Linked DNA regions of Arabidopsis thaliana. The main gene of each other region encodes a partner of the protein of the gene in region 2 in a complex. Each region holds a gene or a part of one and is shown on either strand. Other genes may lie near its edges. The genes, in order: FAS1, MSI1 and VRN2.

Region 1 (8,100 bases), on a different chromosome or scaffold from region 2:
CTTCACTATCATCTTCATCATCAGCCTTTGAACATCCTTCTTCCAAACTTTCGTCTTCATCTTTCTCACAATCTGAAAGGCTTTCACCAGCTTCTTCCTGTAAAGAAGTATCTTTATTACCCAGTGATCTTTTGTCAAGTTTAAAAAGCATGTACTGAATTCAATAAACCTACCTCTTCCCATTCTTCATCACTATCAACTTCATAATCCAATTCTGGATCCTTTTGCAGAGGACGACGTGGCTTTACAACTTGACTGCAAATGTTAAACAACAGATCCCTCAGTACCATTGTAAGCAAACTTAGAGAGTGAACACTACTTAATTGAACAGCTAGATGCATATCAGAATAACAAATGGTATTGTCGTATCAGAATCACAGAGAACGTTCTGTACATTACAAGTTCACTACAATGATTGTTCAATCCAAATTGAAATGCATTGGACGATAATAACCACAGATCCAACATAGACGATGGTTAGTTAATTAAGGAATCAGAACAGGGTAAAGTAGCGTAAAAGTATGTTTACTTCATAGGTCATTTATCATCTGCTTTATTAAACACCATGAAAAAAGTAGTCACATAGGCAGCATCGGAAAACTTTATGACTTATGCAGTGAAAATTGAAAAATGTTTCGCAACAAAGCTAATATCAAAAAACAGTACCAAACAAACCCAGGGGAAAGCTTGCAGTTAGTCAAGGCTTTTTGGCTAACTAATAATCTATATTATATAAGCTTACTGCTGAAATGAAAATTTTCAAAATAATTACTAACCTTTGGCTGGGCCAGATACCATAAAAGCCTGGTCTGCAGCTTTTATCAAATTGTAACAACTGCTTGACCCTCCTGGACTTCTTACGATTAGATGAGGAAGGCTTACACTGCCTACCATCAAAGTTATTCTCTTCACATCCATCCCCTTGCTTCTCCATGTTAGGTTCACCGTCAGATGTTACTCCACTATTTGTAGATAGTTTTAGTTTTGGAAACAGTTCACTCTTAGGCTGCCTACGCATCCCCCAATGTTTTTTCGAACTCGAGAGCAAATGACCCAACTGACGCCAGGAAGCAAAGTGTTCCCTACAAAGAAATACAACTCAGATCACAATACCCAAAGTGACACCTCACAGAATCAATCAACAAGGAGAACCAATGTCATACCTGCGAATATCATCAACTGTAGCTTCACAAGTTGTTGAAAAGGCGTTGTCAATTGCCTGAACAACTTTTCCAATTTCATTCTCATGTTTTGTACATGACAGCTCCTGAGCAGTTACTTCACTGGAAGGAAGTTTGGGTTGGGTCAATGAACTATCTTTGCTCTTTTTAAGAAACCGTTCCATGATTGAAGCTTGTTTCTGTACTTGAAGTTGCTTCTTTAGCTCGGCTTGTTCCTTCTCTCTACGCTTCTGCTCCTTCTCCGACTCATCTTGCTGTTTCTTTATCCGTTTTCTTGACTCTGTCTCTTCTTTTTCTTTATTATTTTCATCAACAATTGCTTTCTGCAGTAGCTTCTGCTCTTTTTCCTGTCACAGTGAACAAATGCTCAGTCAGAAGTCAGACTTTGAAATCAAACAACACATCCTAGATGACTAAAAGAGAATAAACAGCGCCAGAAAAGACTTCTAGAAGACAATGAAGAAAAAGATCAGCTTACTTGTTGCAATTTTTCTTTCAATACTTGACGTTCCATTCTCTTCTTCTCCTTCTCAGCTTCACATCTATTTTTCTCCAATTGTTTAAGAAGCAGCTTCTCTTCTCTCTTTGAGTCTTTCTCAGCCCTTAACGATCAAACACAATAACTGAGTAAGAATGAAAAACAAGAGATAAAATGTAAACCAAGTACTAACAGAAGATACTTACATTTCTGAGCTGTTCTTCTGCATCATGTTATCCATGAATGATCGAATATCCACCTCACTCAGTATTTTACCAAGCTTCTCAGCAGCTTTACTCAAATCAGATCTCCACAACTTTTCAGTTTCTTCTCTTTGTAATGCAGCTAACATTGCTGAAACACAACATAGGGCATAAACACTCACATCTTATAAACAAACAATCAATACGAATCACCACTAAAAACAACATTTACCAGAAACTGCTGTAATCCTTTCATGAATCTTCTTTCGACAAGTCCGGCGAAGTTTTAACACTCCACGAACGGAACTCGGCATGATTTTCAGATCTCTCGTCTACAACATCAAATAAACATTACATCTCAAACATTAAATGACATCACCAAAGAGTATAAACCACACCAAACTTACCATTAGATTCAAAGATCAAAACTTGTAAGATTAGCAAACTAAGATTACCTCCCAGCACCAAAGACAAGATTCAGAATCATCCTCCAAAACATCAGCATCTACGTTAAGCACACCGTAACTAACTCTCTGACCAACAGAAACAACAGCACTCTTCACAGCTACCATAGTAACACTTTCAGTCTTCTCCTTCAATTTCAAGTAAATCTCATCTACAAGCTTCGACAACGGCAAACTCATTTCCTCCATTAACAAAGCCACCATCGAATTCAATGAGGAACATTCACTAAATCCAGAAAACAGATCTGTTCTCTTACTCTTATCCATAACTTCTCTGAAATAATCAAAAAGCCCTTTCATCTCTAGATTCAACGACGAGATCTGAGATTCTTTCTCCTCAGATGTTAGATTCTCAATCGCCGTGGGTTCTCTCTTCCGCTTATTCAGCTTCTTTGGCTCTATCATCGTCTTCCGATTCTCATTTTCATTCACCGTCGAAACTTCGTCCATCGCAAAAAAAAAAACTAGAAAAATTCGGGAATCTATAAACCCAGGAAAATTGAAACAAGATCTAGAATCTAAGAAATCGATTGCGAGAAACACGAGCTGAGTGGAGATTTGTTGTTCCTTTCGTGATTTTGATTTTGGATTTTTTTTTTCTCAGAGTTCTTAGGTTTTTGGAGAAGAAGAAGAAGAAGGGAGTGGGAAGATGGATAGGTTTGAAAAAAAAAAAGGATAAAAAAATAAAATTGGGGATTCACTAAAAAGAAGGGTCGTTGATTTTCCCGCCAAGGTTTTGACGGGTGGATTTGCCTCCAAATGACAAAAATGCAATTTTACTGTTTGGCGCCACTCAAGTTTTGGAGAAGATGAAGGCCTATGTGGGCCTGCTTTTGTTTCTTTTAAGCCCAATATAGTGGGGGAAACAATTGGGATGACATATAAATAGAGACTAGAATTTACTAATTTTAAATACTCATGCGGATGCGGTTATATAAATAGAGACTAGAAATTACTCATTTTAATTTTAATTTTAAGCCTAATACGGTCATGGTGAGCAAGAGCTCCGAATGAAACCGAATAATACTTTGGATACGATTTATGAACGAGGTAAGAAAGTGAAAGGAAATGAAGATTTGTAGCAAGAAAAGGGAGGGAGAGAAGATGGTGAGGTTTTTGTTCACTGAGCATATGTTGTTGACTGACCATATGAGGGAATCAATTGATGATGAATGATGTGGTAGTAGTGCGTGTTAATTTGTCGTTAGAAAAATGTTTGAATTATAATTCTTCGCTTTAATTTTCTTCTAAAAGATACTAACAGTCATACTAATTAAGAATGAGTAATTGGTTGGACAATTCAATAAGCAAACAAAGTGAGTTATTAAATGGCTAGTGTTTTTATTTGCGGCATTGTACTAAACGAAATAACAAAACAAAATAGAGAGATGATTTTCTGTAATTGTAAAAATAGGAGAAACCAATGAACTGACGTTTTATTCAGTGTTCACTTTTCAGTAATAGGAATCAGATAAAGAATATTTCTTTTATTTTCAAAATTTTTTAAAAATATCCCAAAAAGGGTGATAAGATTTGGTGGCCATTAAAAATGCTACTTTTATGTGTGAGCTTTTTGTATTCATTCCCACGAGGCTACCCTCACGGCTCAAGCATCTCTCGTCATGCTTCTGACGTTCTTCATCTCCCTTTGGATATGCCATTTGCATGATATGATACATTATACATTGATAGCTTCATACTAAATAATGCGTTTTAAAGGCTTAATAACAAATTAGTATAATGTAAAATGCTATTTGAATTTATTCTGTATATAATGTTTTTGAAAAACTTAGGAAATAGTGATGCATTGCAACAAATTATACTAGAAAATATCATGCTTATACCATTTATGGTGACGGCATAAAAAACTTGTGCAGTTGGAACCTTAAAAACGATATTTACGTAAATTATGACACTAAATGGTGCGTTTAAACGATTAAACGTTTATATTTATTGCAATACATCACTATATTGCAACAAATTATCTAAAATATCCAACCTATGCTATTATTCATAATGGCGGCATAAAACTTGTGCAATTAGACCCTTTTAAATATTCTAAGTAATTACGTCAAAAAAAAAAAAATTACACTAGATATTTGTTTTCATTGAAAAAGATCACAAACTCAACGTCAACACAGGATGGTCTAAATTAATCAACGTGGAGATGAAAGTTAAGAGCTATTTTAAAGGCACAAATTTTTATGTTAAAGACTTTTGTTCCTAACATTCATTTCCACTTCCAATATAAGATAATTCTAACATTAAAAACTTATGGTGAAAAAATATTTTTTAAAAATTTTATCTGATTTGGGGTTCAAAAATATTATAAATAAAAATTCCATAATTTCTAACGAACATTTGCTGAACAAAAATCTATTACTTATTGAACCAAAAAAAAAATATGCTATTTTTCTCATTGAAAATCTCATTGTTTTTAACCTCTCTTCGAATTACATTCGTATGAATCACAAAAGTTTATATTTAGGAGCAGTCAATAATTTATTTATTCCATTTATATTATCATCGTTAAATAAAATGTTGACAACCAACAACAAATTCAATCGGAATCAGTTCGACTGAAATTATGTTTAATTTCTTAAAGATCAAAAGTCCAAAGAAGAGATGATGAATTGAAGTTTATCAAGAATAATGAGATCTTTCTTGTTGTTAAAGATAATGAGATCTTTCACATTATTGAGAGAGTATGAAGATAGATACGTTGATGATAGTGAAGTGAGACATCTTGGCCAACATTAGAAGAAGATTCCATAAAGGATTGGATGAGTGCAAAGTATCGAGACGTCTCTACTTGGTTGCGTTTCTTCTATTTTTATATTCGATTGTTTTACACTACTTCCTATTTTTATATTCGTTTTTACATACTTCCTATTTCCAAACGTTTTTTAAAATTTATTTATTAATTTCTCCTCCACATGATTTTCCTTTTGGTCTTATTCTTATTTCTTTCGCTCCATGTCAAGAAAATATGAACTAAATAACCCAAAGACTATCATTTTATTTGTAACAATAATAAGTGGAAACATCGTAAACTGACGGTTTCGTTAATGTTTTTGAGCTTTTATAAAAATAACATTAATTTTGTATTTATTAAATAAATATAATTATATATCTTTCCGATGACATGGTAAATTGCATGATATTATATTATTTATTTAAATTTATATATACGAAAAACGTAACTTTCTTACGGTTTTCTCAGGGCAATTTTTTCCCTAGTTTTTTAAAATATAATGTTATTTTAAAGTAATCCTTTTAGAACAAGGATGCTCAATTTTTGACTAGATCCACGTAGGAAGTAGAGAAGAAAAGAAAAATTTGAGGCCCAAGTTCAGGAACTGTTGATATTTTTTAGCCACCAACTTCACAAGAGATATAAACACACACACACATGGGAACAAGACGACTGAACAAATAAGAATTCTTTTAAGAAATAGAGTACGACAAAAACGTGAGACGCAAAAAAAAAAAAAAAAAACTTGTAATATTCTATGATTTCTCATGAACCGAATTTATTCAGTTGCTATGATGATTTTGAGGGTCACTTTTAATAGAAAGGATTGTGGGGGTTCACTATCTTTTAGGTTCTTCTACATTTTAGTGTTCGTAACAAGCACTTATGTGTGTTAAGTCTTATAAAGTTAGTTAGATAATTGTAAGTTGTTAGCTTCACATAATTAATTTTATCGATGTTACTAATACCCCACATTTTTTGCGAATCTAAGTTGCAGAAAATAATTGACGTAGTTTACACATTTAACTTCATAAGTAAATAAAATATGATGGAGAGATGAAATTTAATTCAAATTTGTAGCACAAGATCTTTTGGAGAACTCACAACAAGTTTAGATTTAGTTTTAGGCAACGAGATTTGGGGTTAAGGTATAGGGGTTAAGCATATTAATTTATTTGGAGTTTTAACTCAAAATCAAATAGTAAAGAATGGATTGACCATAATTAAGTATTTTTCCATCTATCTATATGGGGCTCCACATGCCTTAAGAGATCGTGGTTTTTTAGATTTTTTTTTTAAAACTCATCATAATGTACTTCTAAATCTCGACAAAATGAAATCAAGCTTTTGTTGGACATTCAGTTCCGGACAATCGGACTGCATTCAAATAACTTGTTTTCGGACTTGGATATGATGTTAAGTATCATATATTCATATGCGTCCAACTAAATATCAATTGACAAAAATTGGATTGACACATATCTCTTATATACTAGTGTTTCTTTTTAAAACTTTCAATGTGGGATCTTATTAAAAGAAATCCTCTTCTCAAAACTTTATAAACTTTCATTAGACTAATTATAAGCTAAACTATCTAAAATCTCTTACATATTATTTGAGAAGTCGCAATTTTTTTTGTCATCTCACTTTATTGAGTAAAGAATAATATCAAACATAAAACAAGTTAATCTAAGACTTGCAGATAATAAACCAACATGGGAAGATAATTGAAGGATTATCTTCTAGCTTAGAGAACATGTGTCGCAATTAATTTGATGACAAAGGGCACTCATGAGGATATGATTTAGAAATGTCATCGAATACTGACGATCGATTTTTTCGAGTCCGATGAATTACAATTCACAGAGGTAAAGAAATCTGCTTTTGAATCACCGATTCTTCTAACTTCTATTCAGATGATAGGTTAAATGAAGAAGAAGAAAAAAAGAGAAGAAAATCTATCAAGATCCCTTATGCTAGCCCAAAATCACATCAAGTTTTTCACATAATGAGATTTAGCAAAAACTTGTAAACGTAGGTTTGCCGGATCTCTTGTTCCTCATCCACTTGCCAATCTTCGTAATCCAAAAGGTAAATATCTATGTTTAATTATCTTCTAGATTTTAAGGCACAACGGATTGATCGTTCTATATTGTATGCACGATTGAAGAAGTTGTTTAAGAAGCACAAACATTTGACTATCGGCTTTAACACCTTTTTGTCACTTGGAGATAAGATATTTCTTCATGGTGACGCAGAAGCCTCTACTAGCTCCACCGCAAAAGACTATTGAAATTTCTTATCATGGTCATTACACCAATGATACTATCAAAATCTCTAAACTAATCTCTATGTTCAGTTTTTGATGGTTTATTATCAAGTATGTGTCTTTGTAATTATCTTCTCTTCTAAGATTGAATCATCACAATGTTTTTGAATTATTTGATTTTCATTGAATATTTCAACCAACCAAAATGTTTTCGTTCTAGAAATAAAGTCCTAAAGTGACGTACATTCGTTTTCTAATGAAAATGCTATTTCATAAGTTATTCCTTTCATTTTTTTTGGGTCGTCAAAACATAAGTTAATATTCTTTTTTTATTTGACTAAAACTACTTTTCCAAAATTTTCACCGGGGAAACCTTCTCAAAGCTTTATGAGCTTAAACATATGCAAAGTGTCTCATTAACTTAAATAAATATAGAGTACAATTAATTTGTTCACAACGTTTTTAATAGGAAACTTAGAATATGTTCTGTGATGCACTATATGTTGCTTCGTAAGGAAATTGCATGCGAAAATCTAGTGGAAGAAATTTAGTTAAACGGCAAAAATCTTCAATTAATCGTTTCCTTTATCTACATTACCAAAAGGTTGCGAACATTATGCGACATATGGTGGTTAGAACTTAATACACTAATGTTTTTCAAAGATGCTATTTGTGGAGTTGATAAAGACAAAACATATTTGAAGAAAATAATTTTAAACATGTAGTGTTTAGGAACATCACGGCTTCATA
Region 2 (8,100 bases):
CTGTTTGGTTTGATTGGTCAAGAGGAAAAGAGAGAGAGAGAAAGAAAAGAGAAACCTTGTTAACAGAAGACTGTTGCTCGATGGAGGTAGCTGCGGTTTTGAAAGAGGAGGAGAAATGTGATGATGGTAGAGACAGAGAAGGCGAAGAGAGATGGAGTTTCTTTGTCTGCTTGGGAAAGGAAGAGGAGATGAGAAAGGGTTTCGTACGGCAAGCGGCGGCGGTAGGCGGCACCGCCACAGTCAATGCTCCGGTGACGCTCCACATTTGCTGCTGATTAGAGTCTGTTGATCGAGGCAGAATCTGTAAAAATCTTATCTTTTTTGCCGGGGGTCATCCATTATTATCATCACTCTCTCTCTCCCTTTCTCAACTCAATTTTTAATTGATTTTAATGTTATTTGGGCTTCAGTAATGGCCCAATAAGGTGTTATGGGTTTCTTCAAGCCCGTAAGAAAGAAAAGGGAAAGGCGTTAACTGTGACTTTCATGGCGACGGAGGCGGAGCTGAGATGCTGAACCTGCAAGTAACCGGGAAGACGATCTTATCTAGTATTCGTTGTCAGAGAAAGGTAAGTTCCTTATACGATCCAACATTTTGTCTCTACTTTACAAGTTAGAAGGATTGATTTTTGAGTGTTTTGATTGCTGCAGATGTCGTCTACTTGTTCTTCGTACGCATTTGGGCCGTACAAAATCGATCCCCGTGAAGTGTTCTACGCAACGCCTCTCTCTTATGCCATGGTTAATCTCCGTCCGCTTCTTCCTGGTATGCCTCATTCCTCTCTAATTATTCATCGAACCTCTTCAACTTTCTTCTGACCTTCTTTTTCATCTATTTTTTGCAGGTCATATCCTTCTTTTTTTTGTGTGTTCTTCATTTTTCGGTTTTGTTTTGTAAATTGAGTTCTATTGGATGACTTTAACCAGACGAGCACATGTTCTTGTCTGCCCGAGACGCCTTGTGCCACGATTTACTGATCTTACAGCTGATGAGACCAGTGACCTGTGGCTTACTGCTCAGAAGGTTGGCTCTAAGCTTGAGACCTTCCATAATGCGTCTTCTCTCACATTAGCCATCCAAGTAAACTAAACATCTCCTTTCTTTCGTCATTGTTTCTTGCGTCTAAATCTTAATGGATTGGAATTGAAACGATCTAACTTTGGTTTCATGAAAATGGCTTAGGATGGCCCTCAAGCGGGACAGACTGTTCCCCATGTACACATTCATATCTTGCCTCGTAAAGGTGGTGACTTTGAGAAGAATGATGAAATCTATGATGCTGTAAGTTGTTGCATTTTGATCACATTCCTAGCTTTGGTTTTATACAAATCTTATGGTGGTATCTTCTTGTAGCTTGATGAGAAGGAGAAGGAACTGAAGCAGAAGCTTGATCTAGATAAAGACCGGGTTGATAGGAGCATTCAGGAGATGGCTGACGAGGCTTCCCAATACAGATCTCTTTTCGATTGCTAGTTATCATTTATCAATATCAAATCAAACCAAGCTATCCAGTAGCTTTAATAAGGACCATTGTGACAAGTGACTTTCAGTTTGAAATTTTATGTCAGAGACTTTGATTCAAATTTGTAATTTCTTTCTAATGTCGCCCAATCTGGGTATAAACTAAGAGTTATAGCTTTGGTTGACACTACTTAGTGAGATTAGAATCAACTCCTTCATGTTATAAAGAAAAATTCCCACTTGCTACCATCCTCTCATGCCTCATTTTACACAATGAACACTAAATACTTGAACTAAACAATAGCAGAGATGTATAAATAAATACTGTCCCATAAGATCAGTGCGCTTTGGATACTAAATAACAAGCTAAGAAGCTTTTGATGGTTCTTCCCCTGGAGCGTCATCCTCATCATGATAGATGTTTTCAGCCATTTGCCATATTTGGAGTATGTTGTCCTCAGCAACACTGGAAATAACCCAATCTTCACAAGGGTTCCACGAGAAATCTGAAATTTTGCTAGTGTGACCACCGTGAATAAACAGCAGCTCAGGTGGGCCGTCTTCTGCGTCCTCCACTGTCTGTTCCTCATCGATCCTATCATAAGACACCCTCAAACATATCAATATTGCTCCTCCATGACCATACATGAACATTAAACTAAAGAACTAAAGTCTACGGCCCAAACCTGCTAAGGTCCCAAACCATAAGTCTTCTACCAAGGCAACATGAAGCTAAAATAGTCTCGTTCTTTGGGTTCCAACCAACTTGAAAAACCTCCTCTCTGGAGATCAAGCACATAATTAAGGTTAGTGATGTTGCTGTAACTTGTAAATACTTCTTAGTAACACAAAATCCATCTCAAAGCGGCAATATTTATGGCGTATCATTCTTACTTGTGGCTATCAAATGTGTGAAGAGCGGTGCTTAGCTTCCGTAGATCGAATAATTTAACAGTCTTGTCAGTTGATCCTGTTGCCACAACCCACTCATTAAATGGATTGAAGGCTAAGCAGTTAACCTAAGGCATTTCAAACAACTCAACAATTAGCAAATACATACGAGGCAATATGATTCAATGGTTTTTAGTGTTAAGGAAAGCAAGCTTAAAAACCAGAAGTATTATCTGTATCTAAAGCTAATATATTGCAAACTCACCTCCATCGAATGAGCAACCACAGACTGTACTGGTTTACTGGCAGATGGAGAACGCAGATCCCATATGAGAAGGTATTGGTCATCTCCAACTGATCCAAACAGGTACTCATGTCTCAGATGCCATGCAACATCTTCCACAACCCCTTCATGAGCCTTAAGTTCAGAAAATAATCATCAGCAAGGAAAACACAGAAACCAACCTGAATATCTATCTATGAGCTTTCATAAGTGTAACTGATTCCGTTAAGTGGGTGCAATTCCTTCCTTTCTAGATGATACAAAACAAAACTAAAAACGAATAGAAATCCAAAGCATTACCTTAAAAATCTGCTGAGCGTCCAGAGATTTGTTTTTAGGAGTAGCGTTAATATCCCACAAGCAGATCTGAGCATCATCAGAGCCACTAAGCAAATGACCCTGCTTGAACTTACTCCAAGAGAGACCATATCCCTCAGAGCTGTGACCTCTAAGCTTTAAATCAGGATTACAAGCCCCATCAAGAGGAGGCTTAGATGGATGCTTACTGTAATCGAAAACATAGACCTCCGCATTAACTGTCTTGGTAGCAATTATGAAAGGGTTTTGAGGCATATAGCGAGCTCGATTAACCTCACCATCATGATTTATCTGCTGGATAATTTGTACCTACACAAGCAATCAAACTAACATTTATCATCCTTTACCTCGTTATAACCCTAGAATCAAATCTAGAAAGTTGGAAATGAGAAACAAAAATAAAAAATCGCACCTTTCCAGTTGCACAGCCAAAGCCACCAAATTCAGAGCGGTCATCATCGTACTGACGAGCTTCACTCTCGGTATCGTCAAGAGGAAGCTGAACTTGGGCTAGCATCAAGTAATTGGGCTCGCTCTCGGAGGTATGGGTACCGAGAATCATCTTCTGAACGGAGTAGTCTTTACCGGAAGGTTCTTCACGGTCAGGAAGCCATTCAACAGTAAGTGAAGGCCACTCGAGAGCGTGAGTAATAACGAGATCGTAGAGGAAAGGAGTGTTCTTCTTCCAGATCTTGTACTCTTCATTGATTAGTCGCTCCTCGATCTCACCTCGCATTTCCTCTTCGTCTTTCCCCATATCGGCGATGTCTTTGTTATTCCCGCCACAAGAACAAGGCAAAACCCTAAAACAGATCTCTTTACAAATTGTAAGAAACTTCTCGCTTCTGTTTCTGAATAATTCACATATAGAAGATGATGAATAAAAAAAGGAAGAAGATAAAGAAAAGGCCCATTTTTGAAAAGCCCGTTTATGAAAAGGCCCAATTAGATGACTTTTGATCTTACACCAGTCAACAGAAGTGAGGATTGGAGAAAAGAGAGAAAAAATGGCGATGGAGATCGGAGAAGATGAATGGAAGGTTTGCTGTGGAAGCTCCGAATTCGCGAAGCAGATGTCTACGTCTGGACCGTTAACTTCTCAAGAAGCAATATATACTGCAAGAGACATCTGGTTCAACCAAGTTAATGTGACAGATTGGCTTGAAGCTTTCTCTGCTCATCCTCAGATTGGGAATACTCCTTCACCTTCTATCAACTCCGATTTTGCTCGTCGGAGCGTATCAGAACAGTCAACCGCCTTTGCCACAACTTCTGCTTCTGCTTTACAGGTGATGGATCTTCACTTTTTTTTTCCTTCATCTCTTCAGTGATTTCTTCTTCTGATGATCAATTGTTTTCAATTTCTTAGGAGCTTGCCGAATGGAATGTACTTTACAAAAAGAAGTTTGGCTTTATCTTCATTATTTGCGCTTCTGGCAGGACTCACGCTGAGATGCTCCATGCGTTAAAGGTCAACTTTTGCATTTCCAAATCAGTTTTTGTTGAGTGTGAGTGAATGAGAAAGTTACATATTCATCAAATCGTCTCTTTTTCAGGAAAGGTATGAAAATAGGCCAATAGTGGAGCTTGAGATTGCTGCTATGGAACAAATGAAAATAACAGAGCTACGAATGGCAAAGCTGTTCTCCGATAAGGCTAAAGTTATATCAGAAACTGACAGCTCTAGCTCTCCTGTTTCAACAAAACCTCAAGGTATATTGATGATTTACCAAATCTTTTCCTTGTCAAAGTTTTGTGTTTGACTGTGTGGGTTTGAACCTGTTAGGATTCAGTATGATATCAAGTATGTGTCTTTTGGAATACAAGGATTTACCCTTATGGCTATCTTTGTTATCTGTGTGACCTTTTCTACTTTCTCGCTTTGTAAGATCGTCTGAGAATCATTGGAGGGCATTTGAATGTTGCAGCTGAAGCAAAAGCTCCCAAGAGAAGTAGGCCACCGATCACGACTCATGTCTTAGACGTCTCACGTGGTGCTCCAGCTGCAGGTGTTGAAGTGCACTTAGAAGTGTGGAGTGGTACTACCGGTCCTTCCTTTGTTCATGGAGGTGGTGGGGTCTGGTCCAGTGTGGGCACATCAGCTACTGATAGAGATGGGCGCAGTGGGCCACTGATGGATTTGGTTGACGCTTTGAATCCAGGGACATATAGGATTAGCTTCGACACTGCAAAGTATTCCCCAGGCTGCTTCTTTCCCTATGTTTCCATTGTATTTCAGGTTACAGAATCACAGAAATGGGAGCATTTCCATGTCCCACTGTTGCTTGCACCTTTTTCTTTCTCCACATACCGTGGGAGCTAGAGCTATGCTACTGCTGTCTGCGGCACCAACTTTCCAACACATTTTGTTTTGGTTGTACCACTACGGGAACATGTATCAAAATTGCTATGAAATGAAGTCTTTATTCGACATGTATAAAAATTGCTATGAAATAATGTCTATTCGAGTATTTATTTGGATTTGTAGTTCTGTAGAACAAACAATGAATTAGCGAAAATACGAGCTTTGATCTAGACTCATTGTGAGTAGGACAACGATAGTATAGATTACCATGTTAAACATCTTGGGAGATTCTATACCTTTGTACAAAATGGTCGATCACAAAACAAGCCTCTAAAACTGTTGTGTGTTTTAATCTAGACTCATAGCCAGCAGGACAATAATAGTCTAGATTAAGACATCTTGGTCGATTCCAAACCTTTGCGCAAAATGTCAAAACAAAACAGCTTCTACTGGTATACTTTACACACCTCTACCTACCCTTCCTGAGCGTGTCTAAAGCTCCCTGGCTATATCTACCCTCATCTCCAAAAGTTCGCAAATTCTTTCGCAAATGACATTATGTTGCTCCACGAACTTGACCTTTCTTTCACCTCACCAGTTTCCGTCTCTTTCACCTCACCGGCTCCTGTCTCTGAAATTTGTCTGTAAAAACAAAAGATATAAGAATTCAAACTGAAGTGGTGCCAATATGATCAACTTGAATGACTTTTTCTATTACTCAAAAACAAGAGATCCATCAATGAAGTAAATTATCCTAATATAAGGATCGGACCAGTAAAGAAGAGACCTAGTTGTATGCATTTGATACCTGGTCTCAGTAGGCACAACATCTGCTGAAACATCAGCTCCTTCAAGATGGTCTGCTTTTGACTCTTGATTGCCTAAGTGCGTCAAGTTCCTCTCTTCATCAGTCTCCGAGTTTTCTATTCCCTGAGTTGCCTCTGTTTCTCTTTTGTCATCTTTTGCAGTAATGACAAGGTTGTTGCCCTGGAAATTACTTTCATCATCAGAATTAGAGTGAGAAGTATCTATTATATCCGGCCTCTGCTCACTTCCTATCTCAATATCCACACTGCCAGCCTGTGAAACAGAAACAAGGATAACTAAGCCAATTGATAACTGAAGCCTAAGGAAATTAAACTGATCACACCAAAGCAAGATTTTTTCTTTACTTGAAACTCAGGTTCAACAACCACAGGAGAGAAGTGTGAGGAAGCATCATCTGGTACAGAGGGAGAGACTTCTGAGAGGGTTTTAGCTTCTACGATTGGCACAGGTGCTGGAGAGAAGTGTGAGGAAGTATCAGCTGGTACAGAAGGAGAGACTACTGAGAGGGCTTCTGCTTCTACGATTGGCACAGGTGCTGGAGAGAAGTGCGAGGAAGTATCAGCTGGTACGGAAGGAGAGACTTCTGAGAGGGCTTTAGCTTCTACGATTGGCACAGGTGATGGAGACAAGTGTGAGGAAGCATCAGCTGGTACAGAAGGAGAGACTTCTGAGAGGGCTTTAGCTTCAACGGTTGGCACAGGTGCTGGAGAGGAGTGTGAGGAAGCATCACCTGGTACAGAAGAAGAGACTTCTGAGAGGGCTTTAGCTACGATTGGCATATGTGCTTTTGGTTTGAGTTTCAGCTCTTGAAAGATGTCCCTGACAATGTAATAAGAGCCTCCCACTTGCTTGTGAGTAGCATCCAATGAAGGGAATCTACCAGCATTAGTTGCTCTGTATCTGCAAACAAACAGTACCTATGTTCAGGACCTTGAGATTCATACAGCTGCACATATTGCTATCTAGTTGACATGTGAACCTCTACAGAATATGGGAAAACTAATCGATGGAGAAAGAATTACTCGTTGACAAAGGACTCCACCAAAGCTCGCCGATCATCTTTTGAGAGTCTTTTGGGAATTTTAGATGTTGTTAAAGATTCGCAAACAGCAGGAGAGCCATAGAACCTTGCAAGCCGTTTAACATCAGTTTTGAAAACAGCATTTCTGCGAGTAGCAGACACTGCAAAATGACATCAAGGTTGGAAAAAAAAACATTCAGCAAACAAGTTTCAGACATTGAAAGGAAACATGAGTAAAAAGGGTTTAGCTTTGTTACAGGTAAATTGTTTCAGCTGCTTCAGAATCATCACTGCACTCGAGAGTATGCTACTTCTACGTCACTGCGAACAACTCCACCCAACAATTCCATAACTAGCTAAACATCACAATAAACATCGATTTGGATTCCAAGTAAAACCTTAGAAAACCCCCAGAGAAAAAGCGATAAATATCAGAAATTTACAGAAAATAACCAGTCGCTACTCTCTGTTGGTCGGAAAATAGAGAATTGGAGTTTGAGAGAGACGCGAAAAACACGGCGCCGACCGGAGAGCGATTAAGAAGGAAGAACAACAAGTAGGGTTCTAAAACACGGCGCCGACCGGAGTTTGTTCTCCCAAATTCTTTTACCAAATAATTTCGTAAATAATTTTCCCTACTATTAATTTAATAGCTATGCTTTCTAAAAGGGACTTGTTCGCCAAGACAAATGTATAATTAGTTATTACAGTCTTGTCCCGAATTAATTGTTTAAATTTCAAATCAGGTTACATCTTCAAACAAAGTATTTTCCTCCACAATCTTAGCCATACTTCCATTTACATGTACCCAAATTTCTGCTATTTTCTTGATTTTCCCATCTAAAATCTCCACCAATGTGAAAGCTCTTGTTGTGCCACCACTCTCAGACTCTGCTGCTCCTCTTTTCTTTGCCTCTTTAACCCTTGGAACTATTGCACCGTTCACATACACAGTCTGGTTGTCACTATCTTGCACTACCATTTTCCGATTT
Region 3 (8,100 bases), on a different chromosome or scaffold from region 2:
CCTCTTTTCTCATTCGTGATCGTGTTCATAGATGTTTTAGAATCAGTAATAATTTGACATGAGTTATGACTTATGAATGATTGTCGAATAACGTGGTTGCTATTACATATACCAATGATTCTGTAGGATTTAAACATTTTTTTGTGTTCTGTCGTAAACCATGTAAAATGCTTTCTCGCTTCAACATTCATCAGCCATTTAAACGCTGTAAATTTCGATTCTTTTTGCGTTCCATTGGAAACCCAGATACCATTTTGGTGGAATCATGTTCGTCTTCCTCTTGTTCATCGCCAGAGCCATCTCTGGTTCGTTCCGATTACTTGACTAAACCTTCTGATCAAGACCAGATTTTTCCGTTGAACAAGATAATAGCTAGGTGTGTACGTTCAGGAGATATAGATGGAGCTCTTAGAGTGTTTCACGGAATGAGAGCTAAGAACACCATTACCTGGAATTCTCTGCTCATTGGGATTTCTAAAGATCCAAGCAGAATGATGGAAGCACACCAACTGTTCGACGAAATCCCTGAACCAGATACTTTCTCTTATAACATTATGTTGTCTTGCTACGTTCGTAATGTTAACTTCGAGAAGGCACAGAGCTTCTTCGATCGGATGCCATTCAAGGATGCGGCGTCATGGAACACGATGATCACAGGGTATGCACGAAGAGGTGAAATGGAGAAAGCGCGGGAATTGTTCTACTCCATGATGGAGAAGAATGAAGTTTCTTGGAATGCCATGATCTCTGGATACATTGAATGCGGAGATTTGGAAAAGGCATCACATTTCTTCAAAGTGGCTCCAGTTAGAGGCGTCGTGGCTTGGACGGCGATGATCACAGGGTACATGAAAGCCAAGAAGGTTGAATTAGCTGAGGCAATGTTCAAAGACATGACAGTGAATAAAAATCTTGTAACTTGGAATGCTATGATCTCTGGTTATGTTGAAAATTCTAGGCCAGAAGATGGATTGAAGCTTTTCAGAGCTATGCTTGAGGAAGGAATTAGGCCTAACTCGTCTGGACTAAGCAGCGCATTGCTCGGATGCAGTGAATTATCGGCGTTACAATTAGGGAGGCAAATACATCAGATAGTGAGTAAATCTACATTGTGTAATGATGTAACAGCATTGACGTCTCTGATCAGTATGTACTGCAAATGTGGAGAACTTGGTGATGCTTGGAAGCTCTTTGAGGTGATGAAGAAGAAAGATGTTGTGGCGTGGAACGCAATGATTTCCGGGTATGCTCAGCACGGTAATGCGGATAAGGCTCTGTGTTTGTTCCGTGAGATGATAGATAACAAGATCAGACCGGATTGGATAACGTTTGTTGCGGTTTTACTGGCCTGTAACCATGCTGGACTAGTGAATATTGGGATGGCATATTTCGAATCGATGGTGAGAGATTATAAGGTAGAACCGCAGCCTGATCATTACACGTGTATGGTTGATCTTTTGGGTCGGGCTGGGAAGCTGGAGGAGGCATTGAAACTGATAAGATCAATGCCGTTTAGACCTCATGCTGCGGTCTTTGGGACGCTCTTAGGGGCTTGTAGAGTGCACAAGAATGTGGAATTGGCTGAATTTGCAGCTGAGAAACTGCTTCAGCTAAACTCGCAAAATGCAGCCGGGTATGTGCAGCTTGCGAATATCTACGCATCGAAGAATCGTTGGGAAGACGTTGCAAGGGTTCGCAAGAGAATGAAAGAGAGCAATGTTGTGAAGGTAGAGCGAGTCAAAGTTCGATTCTTTATTCGAGTTACAAGACTCTAATGTATTTACTTGACTGTTTCAGGTACCTGGATACAGTTGGATCGAAATACGAAACAAAGTTCACCATTTCAGATCAAGTGATCGGATTCACCCTGAACTAGACTCAATACACAAGAAACTGAAGGAGTTGGAGAAGAAGATGAAACTAGCTGGATACAAACCGGAACTAGAGTTTGCTTTACACAATGTAGAGGAAGAGCAAAAAGAGAAGCTATTGTTATGGCACAGCGAGAAGTTAGCTGTTGCATTTGGTTGCATAAAACTCCCTCAAGGTTCACAGATACAAGTGTTCAAGAACTTGAGAATCTGTGGTGATTGTCATAAAGCAATCAAATTTATCTCGGAGATAGAGAAACGAGAGATCATTGTAAGAGACACCACAAGGTTTCACCATTTCAAAGATGGGTCTTGCTCTTGTGGCGATTACTGGTGAAAAGAGAAGAGCTTTGACTCTCTCATTGGTCAAACCTGACTGTATTTATATGCGTTATTGTGTGGTAAAGTTTCGACCTTTGACTTGACAAGTTGCCGTTAAGAAGAGAGATGCGTAGATCAGCGAGTGGTTCTAGAGTTTTGGATCATTTTCCGGCGACTTCAAGGTCTCCGCCTCGATCTCAGAGTGTTACAGCAATGGAAGATGATGTGGAGCTGCTTTTGCCTAGGTACGATCCGAATTCTCAAGCGGGGAAGAGAGAGAAATCAAGATTCAGATTTTCAGAAAACGTCATCCATTTGATTCCTCTCATTCTTCTTCTCTGTGTCGCAATCCTCTGGCTCTCCTCTTACTCAGGTAAGCCGAGAAATTGTTTCAATCTCTATGAATCCATAATTGATCTGTGAAACTTAATTAGGGATTTTACAAAGACTCATATGGATATGAGGATCGAGATGTCTCTGCAACGTTAGAATCTTGTGTTGAATTATGGTTTCAATTTGTTCATATAATACTAAATCGGTGATGGATTTGGAATTTGTCAGCAGCGTTAAGGAGTTGAGTTCCAAAAGCAACATGTTGTCTTGTCTCCATGGGAACTCATATTCAGTTTTGGGAAAGGAAACAATTCTTTTACCGCCGGTGATTTTGTGCCGCAAACCATTCGTATTTGTAATTTTTGGTTCTGTAGACACACAAAAGGATCTCTCGTTTTCATGAAATGTATGTTTAATATTTCAGTGATATACATCACACAACTCAAGTAGAAAACACTGATGGTTATCCATTAATCATTCTATTGGTCGAAAAAAAGATTAGTTTCAACTTAATGCCACCTTAGGATTATATGTTCCTGTGAGTTTCAGCTAGCCAACTCAACTAGAGTTAAACAATGGAATCAAAATACATATTCAGTAATTTATTTTAAACTCTGACTATTTATGTAAAACACAAATGGAAATCAAAATTGAAGGTCATGAAGATTCTATTCTTAGTGTGAAAAGTATAGATCAATGATTCTTAATTTCTTCATCCTCCACGCATAGATCAATGGTGAATATGGTTTTAAATCCTCTAATACTCACTGTACTGCCATGGTAGAGTTAAAAAAACAATTTTAGAAATATTAGTGGATTAAGGCATTAAGCTGTCCAAGTTGCTTGTATTTTCTTTTCATTTTATTAATTAAAAAAAAAGTTCAACTATTTATTGACTAATAATAATACGTGTTAAATGGTTATCGGTTTAAAATATGGGCCATAGGCCCAGACTTGAAGAAAAACTTGAAACCCAAAGTTTTATTTTTACTTGTTTTCTTTCTCAGTGAATATCTCCCAATCAAGCTTCTTCAATTTTGCTTGCTCTCTCTCTTACACGGCCAATCGGTGTTTTCGCAGCTTTCAGGTTTGTCTCAATCTCAAATTAAATCGGAGTCAAGTAATAACAATTGATAACCCTAATTGTTTCAATTATATTGTAAGATTTGAAATTTTGCAGTAGATCCGGAATCGTATTCTAGTTCTGGAATCGTTGATCTCGATGGAATTTTTTTTAAGATTTCTTCATACACATTTGGTTCAAAAGATCACATAATTTTATTTTAATTTGATAAGTATGATGATTCTGCTAAGTGGCATTGGATAAAGTTTTCATTTTTGCAATACGTCTAAACTTGTCTATGTCTTGAATGAACTCTCTGAGTTGCTTAAAAAGTCTTGTGCTTTCTTTATTACACAGGCCTCAATACAAGACATTCTATATAAGCATATTGCAGAAGAGGCGGTTCTAATTGTTGCATGGAGTTGAACAATATGACGTAGGGAAATTCTAATTTAGGGGAGGCCTCAGAGTTTGCACTAACTTCATAATCAGCTCTGGACGTTGTTGATTGTATTTGAACAAGAATGTGTAGGCAGAATTGTCGCGCGAAATCCTCACCGGAGGAAGTGATTTCAACTGATGAGAATCTCTTGATATATTGTAAACCTGTTCGACTATATAACATCTTTCACCTTCGCTCTCTAGGCAACGTATGATTTGGCCTTCCTCTCTCATCATTTTAGCTTAGTAATCTTTCATCTCCTGTGTAGATCACCCACTAATAGTTTGAGTTTGCTAAGCTGATTATGGTCTGACTCATGGCGAGTGTGTGCTTCTTTTGTCTCCTAATGTTATTTGAACTTGTTGTTTGTTGTTGCAGCCATCGTTTCTGCCAAGATGCTTGAACTACAAAATTGGGGCAAAGCGCAAAAGAAAGTATGCGTTTCTTCTTGAATGTAGTTGCCACAGTGATATGTTATTTATCTTACTTCTAATATGGAAGCTGATGAACTATTTATCTTTGTTGAGTAGATATGGACATAATGAATGGTTTCTTCTTTGTTCATGCTATACACTTATATTTTACAAAATTGTGTTTTGCTTAGGTCAAGATCTACTGGGATGGTAGTTTTCAACTATAAGGATTGTAATAATACATTACAAAGAACTGAAGGTTAGTCTTTTTCTGTTCTTCGACAAAATTCGATGTCAATGTCTATGTTTCTCTAGATGATTTGTTATTTACTATTTTTTTCTGTATTGTCACGCAGTTAGGGAGGATTGTTCTTGTCCATTTTGCTCTATGCTATGTGGTAGCTTCAAGGTGGGCAACTATTACAACTGAGGTTTCTTCCGGGGCCTTTCATATCTAACACTGTGAAATGCTACTGCCGTTTAATGCTATATACTTTCACTGTTTGGTTACATATTTTTGTGTTTGTTGTTTGTCTTCTTGCTCTTTTTAAACTGCTGAGTGTGTGCTTATCTGAGAAAACATGTTCCAGTTCGAGCTTACAATCCATTGTCTTGTGTCTATGCAGGGGCTGCAATTTCATTTGAATTCATCTCATGATTTATTTGAATTTGAGTTCAAGGTATGTGGTTTTATGGAATTTCTTGTTTTGCCTATGCCGTTAGTAATGAGGTTATAGTTAAAAAAGGGTCTTTCCTATTGTAGCTTTTGGAAGAATACCAGACAGTTAATGTTTCTGTAAAACTTAATTCCTTCATATTTGAGGTCAGTTACTTTAAACTTGGTTAATTGGGAAATCCTATAGCTGGTGAAAATTTGGTTTATATTCCATCCTTATTTGTACTAGGAAGAAGGAAGTGATGATGATAAATTTGAGCCCTTCTCTCTCTGGTAACTCTCAGAACCCCTTGATTAAATACCTTAATAGCAGTAACTCCTTGCTTTTCTTGTCAGTACTTCTCTATAAATCCAACCACAATGTTTTGCAGCTCGAAACCTCGTAAGCGTAGACAAAGAGGTGGCAGAAATAACACCAGGAGACTTAAAGTATGCTTTTTACCGTTGGATTCACCCAGTTTAGCTAATGGCACAGAAAATGGAATTGCCCTGCTGAATGATGGTAAAATCACATCTTCTTCTGTGGTATTCGTTGTGGCTTAGAACTTCATTTTACAGAAGAAGATACAATGTCCTGATTGTTTAGTTTTTGTACTTCTCCTCGCATTCTTCTTGTGAGGGTAATGTTACCAGAACTGATGTACAAAATTAATGGCATGCTACAGGAAACCGTGGTTTAGGATATCCCGAGGCAACAGAGCTTGCTGGACAATTTGAGATGACTAGCAACATTCCACCAGCCATAGCCCACTCTTCTCTGGACGCTGGTGCTAAAGTTATATTAACAACCGAAGCTGTGGTCCCTGCTACTAAGACAAGAAAGTTATCTGCTGAGCGATCAGAGGCTAGAAGGTTTGTTCATCATGACACCCCGTCATCATAATTACCATACCTGTTGTTACAAATGTTCTTCCTATTATGGATAAGTGTTTACTGTACTGCCATATTAACCGAGAAAATTTCTTCCAGCCACCTACTTCTTCAGAAACGCCAATTCTATCATTCTCACAGAGTCCAGGTGATCCAAGTTCCTTCACCTACTTCTTAGGCATTTTCTTTAAATTGCTCATGATGATATCTTATCAAAGCATACTTGGTTTGTTCTCATCTAAATTTGTATTTTGATTCTGTATGTATCAACGCAAAAAAATTATGTCCATGTTGTCTCCGTTTTATTGCCACTAACCAAAAACTGCATGTTTCTTGTGACAAGCCAATGGCGCTTGAGCAAGTAATGTCTGATCGGGATAGCGAGGATGAAGTCGATGACGATGTTGCAGATTTTGAAGATCGCCAGGTATTCCATGATTTCTTTCTGCGTTCATTAAGTAGGCAACAGAAAATGGTATACGATGTAACTTGCTAATGGCTTTTGAAACTTAAAAAAGCTGCAGATGCTTGATGACTTTGTGGATGTGAATAAAGATGAAAAGCAATTCATGCATCTTTGGAACTCGTTTGTAAGAAAACAAAGGTAACTACTTCTCTTACACTTGAACACACACAAAAAGACCTTATGTCTTACATTCCATACCTGTCTAAATGATTCTGCTTATGGAACTTTGAGCTCAAATTATGATTGATGTTTGCAGGGTTATAGCAGATGGTCATATCTCTTGGGCATGTGAAGTATTTTCAAGATTTTACGAGAAAGAGTTGCACTGTTACTCATCACTCTTCTGGTAATATAAGTACACCAAACATATACAGACACATAACTACACTATCAATTTTGTTTCGTTTTTCTGAAAGAAAAATAAAAAATTCCAGGTGTTGGAGATTGTTTTTGATTAAACTATGGAACCATGGACTTGTCGACTCAGCCACCATCAACAACTGCAATACCATCCTCGAGAATTGCCGTAATACCTCAGTCACTAACAACAACAACAACAGTGTGGATCATCCCAGTGACTCAAACACCAACAACAATAACATTGTGGATCATCCGAATGACATAAAAAACAAGAACAATGTTGACAACAAGGACAATAACAGCAGAGACAAGTAATTAAATAGGAAACACTCCGGTTTAGATGATACCGATCTATCGGATTGTAACTTATTCTTCTTTCTTAAAAAAATTGTTTAGGAGCAAACAAAGATTTTATTTGTTAGTGTATTCAACTGATTACATTTTTAGTTAAAAAAATGGATTCTCCTTAATAACTAAAGACTGAAAAATAAGATAAGTTTCCTTAATTTTTCTTTTTGACTTGAGAAAAAGCTCCTCTAGACCTCTAGTAAATAGGAGTTATATATTAATCAAGTACATAACATAAAAATATATATATTAAGTGCAAATAGATTGAAAACAAATCAAGAAATTAATTAAGACACAGTGATTAAGCTTAAAACCCCATTTTGACTTGTTCTTTCTCAATGAATCCCTCACAAGCAGCAAGCTTCTTCGATTTTGCTTTGACACCACCAATCAGTGTTTTCGAATCTTTCAGGTTTGTCTCGATTTCAAACTAGATCGGAGTCAAGTGATAAAATTGACTAACATAATTATTCCCGTTCTCTCGTAAGAGTTGGGATTTAGCAGTAGATCGGAAATCGGAATTTACGTTTTTGTTAAAAGATTGATGGTTTAGGTAATAAAACATAGTTCTGGATTCATTGCTTCTAGTTGATTCTCGAATTGTTTGATTTCGCAATGCACATTTTTGGTTCAAAGGATCACATAATTTGCTTTAAAATTTGACAAAACATACCATCAAATTTCTCATATTTCTTCAAGTAACTCGAACTTGTTGGAAATCTATATACTCTGGGCTATGTAGATAAAGTCTTAACATTTTGGTCAACATTGTTTGTTCTCTAAACTAGTTTGGGTTCTCTGTTTTAAAGTTTGGTGCTTTCACTATTACACAGGTCTTATACAAGACTACAGTCTCTAGAAGCATAATATCGTCGACTCTGTTTTGAGTTTCCCAACAGTGGTTGAAGCTTAAGGAGGTTCTTATGTGCCTTTTGAA

Evidence for each region.
Region 1: MSI1 (region 2) and FAS1 share a complex: the UniProt entries of both Arabidopsis thaliana proteins name them as parts of the chromatin assembly factor 1 (CAF-1) complex.
Region 3: MSI1 (region 2) and VRN2 share a complex: the UniProt entries of both Arabidopsis thaliana proteins name them as parts of the plant homeodomain / polycomb repressive complex.

What each region holds. Positions count from the first base shown.
Region 1 is NC_003070.9:24,321,104-24,329,203, forward strand, and holds the start of FAS1 (chromatin assembly factor-1 (FASCIATA1) (FAS1)), read right to left. Parts: upstream 2,989-8,100; 5' UTR 2,777-2,988; coding exon 2,318-2,776; intron 2,195-2,317; coding exon 2,095-2,194; intron 2,014-2,094; coding exon 1,866-2,013; intron 1,784-1,865; coding exon 1,660-1,783; intron 1,529-1,659; coding exon 1,164-1,528; intron 1,083-1,163; coding exon 777-1,082; intron 256-776; coding exon 174-255; intron 98-173; coding exon 1-97. UniProt on the Arabidopsis thaliana protein: Component of the chromatin assembly factor complex (CAF-1) involved in chromatin assembly following DNA replication and DNA repair. Assembles histone octamers onto replicating DNA in vitro.
Region 2 is NC_003076.8:23,551,723-23,559,822, reverse strand, and holds MSI1 (Transducin/WD40 repeat-like superfamily protein), read right to left. Parts: upstream 3,812-8,100; 5' UTR 3,712-3,811; coding exon 3,367-3,711; intron 3,264-3,366; coding exon 2,937-3,263; intron 2,772-2,936; coding exon 2,619-2,771; intron 2,482-2,618; coding exon 2,357-2,481; intron 2,245-2,356; coding exon 2,149-2,244; intron 2,058-2,148; coding exon 1,829-2,057; 3' UTR 1,578-1,828; downstream 1-1,577. Other genes in the region: EMB3143 (YCF54), read right to left, coding at 56-265; FHIT (FRAGILE HISTIDINE TRIAD), read left to right, coding at 510-569, 652-766, 933-1,081, 1,184-1,282, 1,355-1,474; TTL (transthyretin-like protein), read left to right, coding at 3,962-4,243, 4,324-4,425, 4,511-4,667, 4,844-5,277; AT5G58210 (hydroxyproline-rich glycoprotein family protein), read right to left, coding at 5,778-5,901, 6,068-6,339, 6,432-6,987, 7,110-7,269, 7,366-7,396; AT5G58200 (Calcineurin-like metallo-phosphoesterase superfamily protein), read right to left, coding at 7,851-8,100. UniProt on the Arabidopsis thaliana protein: Core histone-binding subunit that may target chromatin assembly factors, chromatin remodeling factors and histone deacetylases to their histone substrates in a manner that is regulated by nucleosomal DNA.
Region 3 is NC_003075.7:9,472,596-9,480,695, forward strand, and holds VRN2 (VEFS-Box of polycomb protein), read left to right. Parts: upstream 1-3,473; 5' UTR 3,474-3,612; intron 3,613-3,945; 5' UTR 3,946-4,112; coding exon 4,113-4,238; exon of another isoform or gene 4,239-4,408; coding exon 4,409-4,464; intron 4,465-4,634; coding exon 4,635-4,702; intron 4,703-4,799; coding exon 4,800-4,852; coding exon of another isoform or gene 4,853-4,874; intron 4,875-5,069; coding exon 5,070-5,123; intron 5,124-5,206; coding exon 5,207-5,266; intron 5,267-5,348; coding exon 5,349-5,392; intron 5,393-5,490; coding exon 5,491-5,621; intron 5,622-5,784; coding exon 5,785-5,971; intron 5,972-6,088; coding exon 6,089-6,137; intron 6,138-6,332; coding exon 6,333-6,416; intron 6,417-6,513; coding exon 6,514-6,593; intron 6,594-6,711; coding exon 6,712-6,801; intron 6,802-6,889; coding exon 6,890-7,130; 3' UTR 7,131-7,283; downstream 7,284-8,100. Other genes in the region: AT4G16835 (Tetratricopeptide repeat (TPR)-like superfamily protein), read left to right, coding at 168-1,727, 1,798-2,208; AT4G16840 (uncharacterized protein), read left to right, coding at 2,319-2,565, 2,754-2,770. UniProt on the Arabidopsis thaliana protein: Polycomb group (PcG) protein. Plays a central role in vernalization by maintaining repressed the homeotic gene FLC, a floral repressor, after a cold treatment.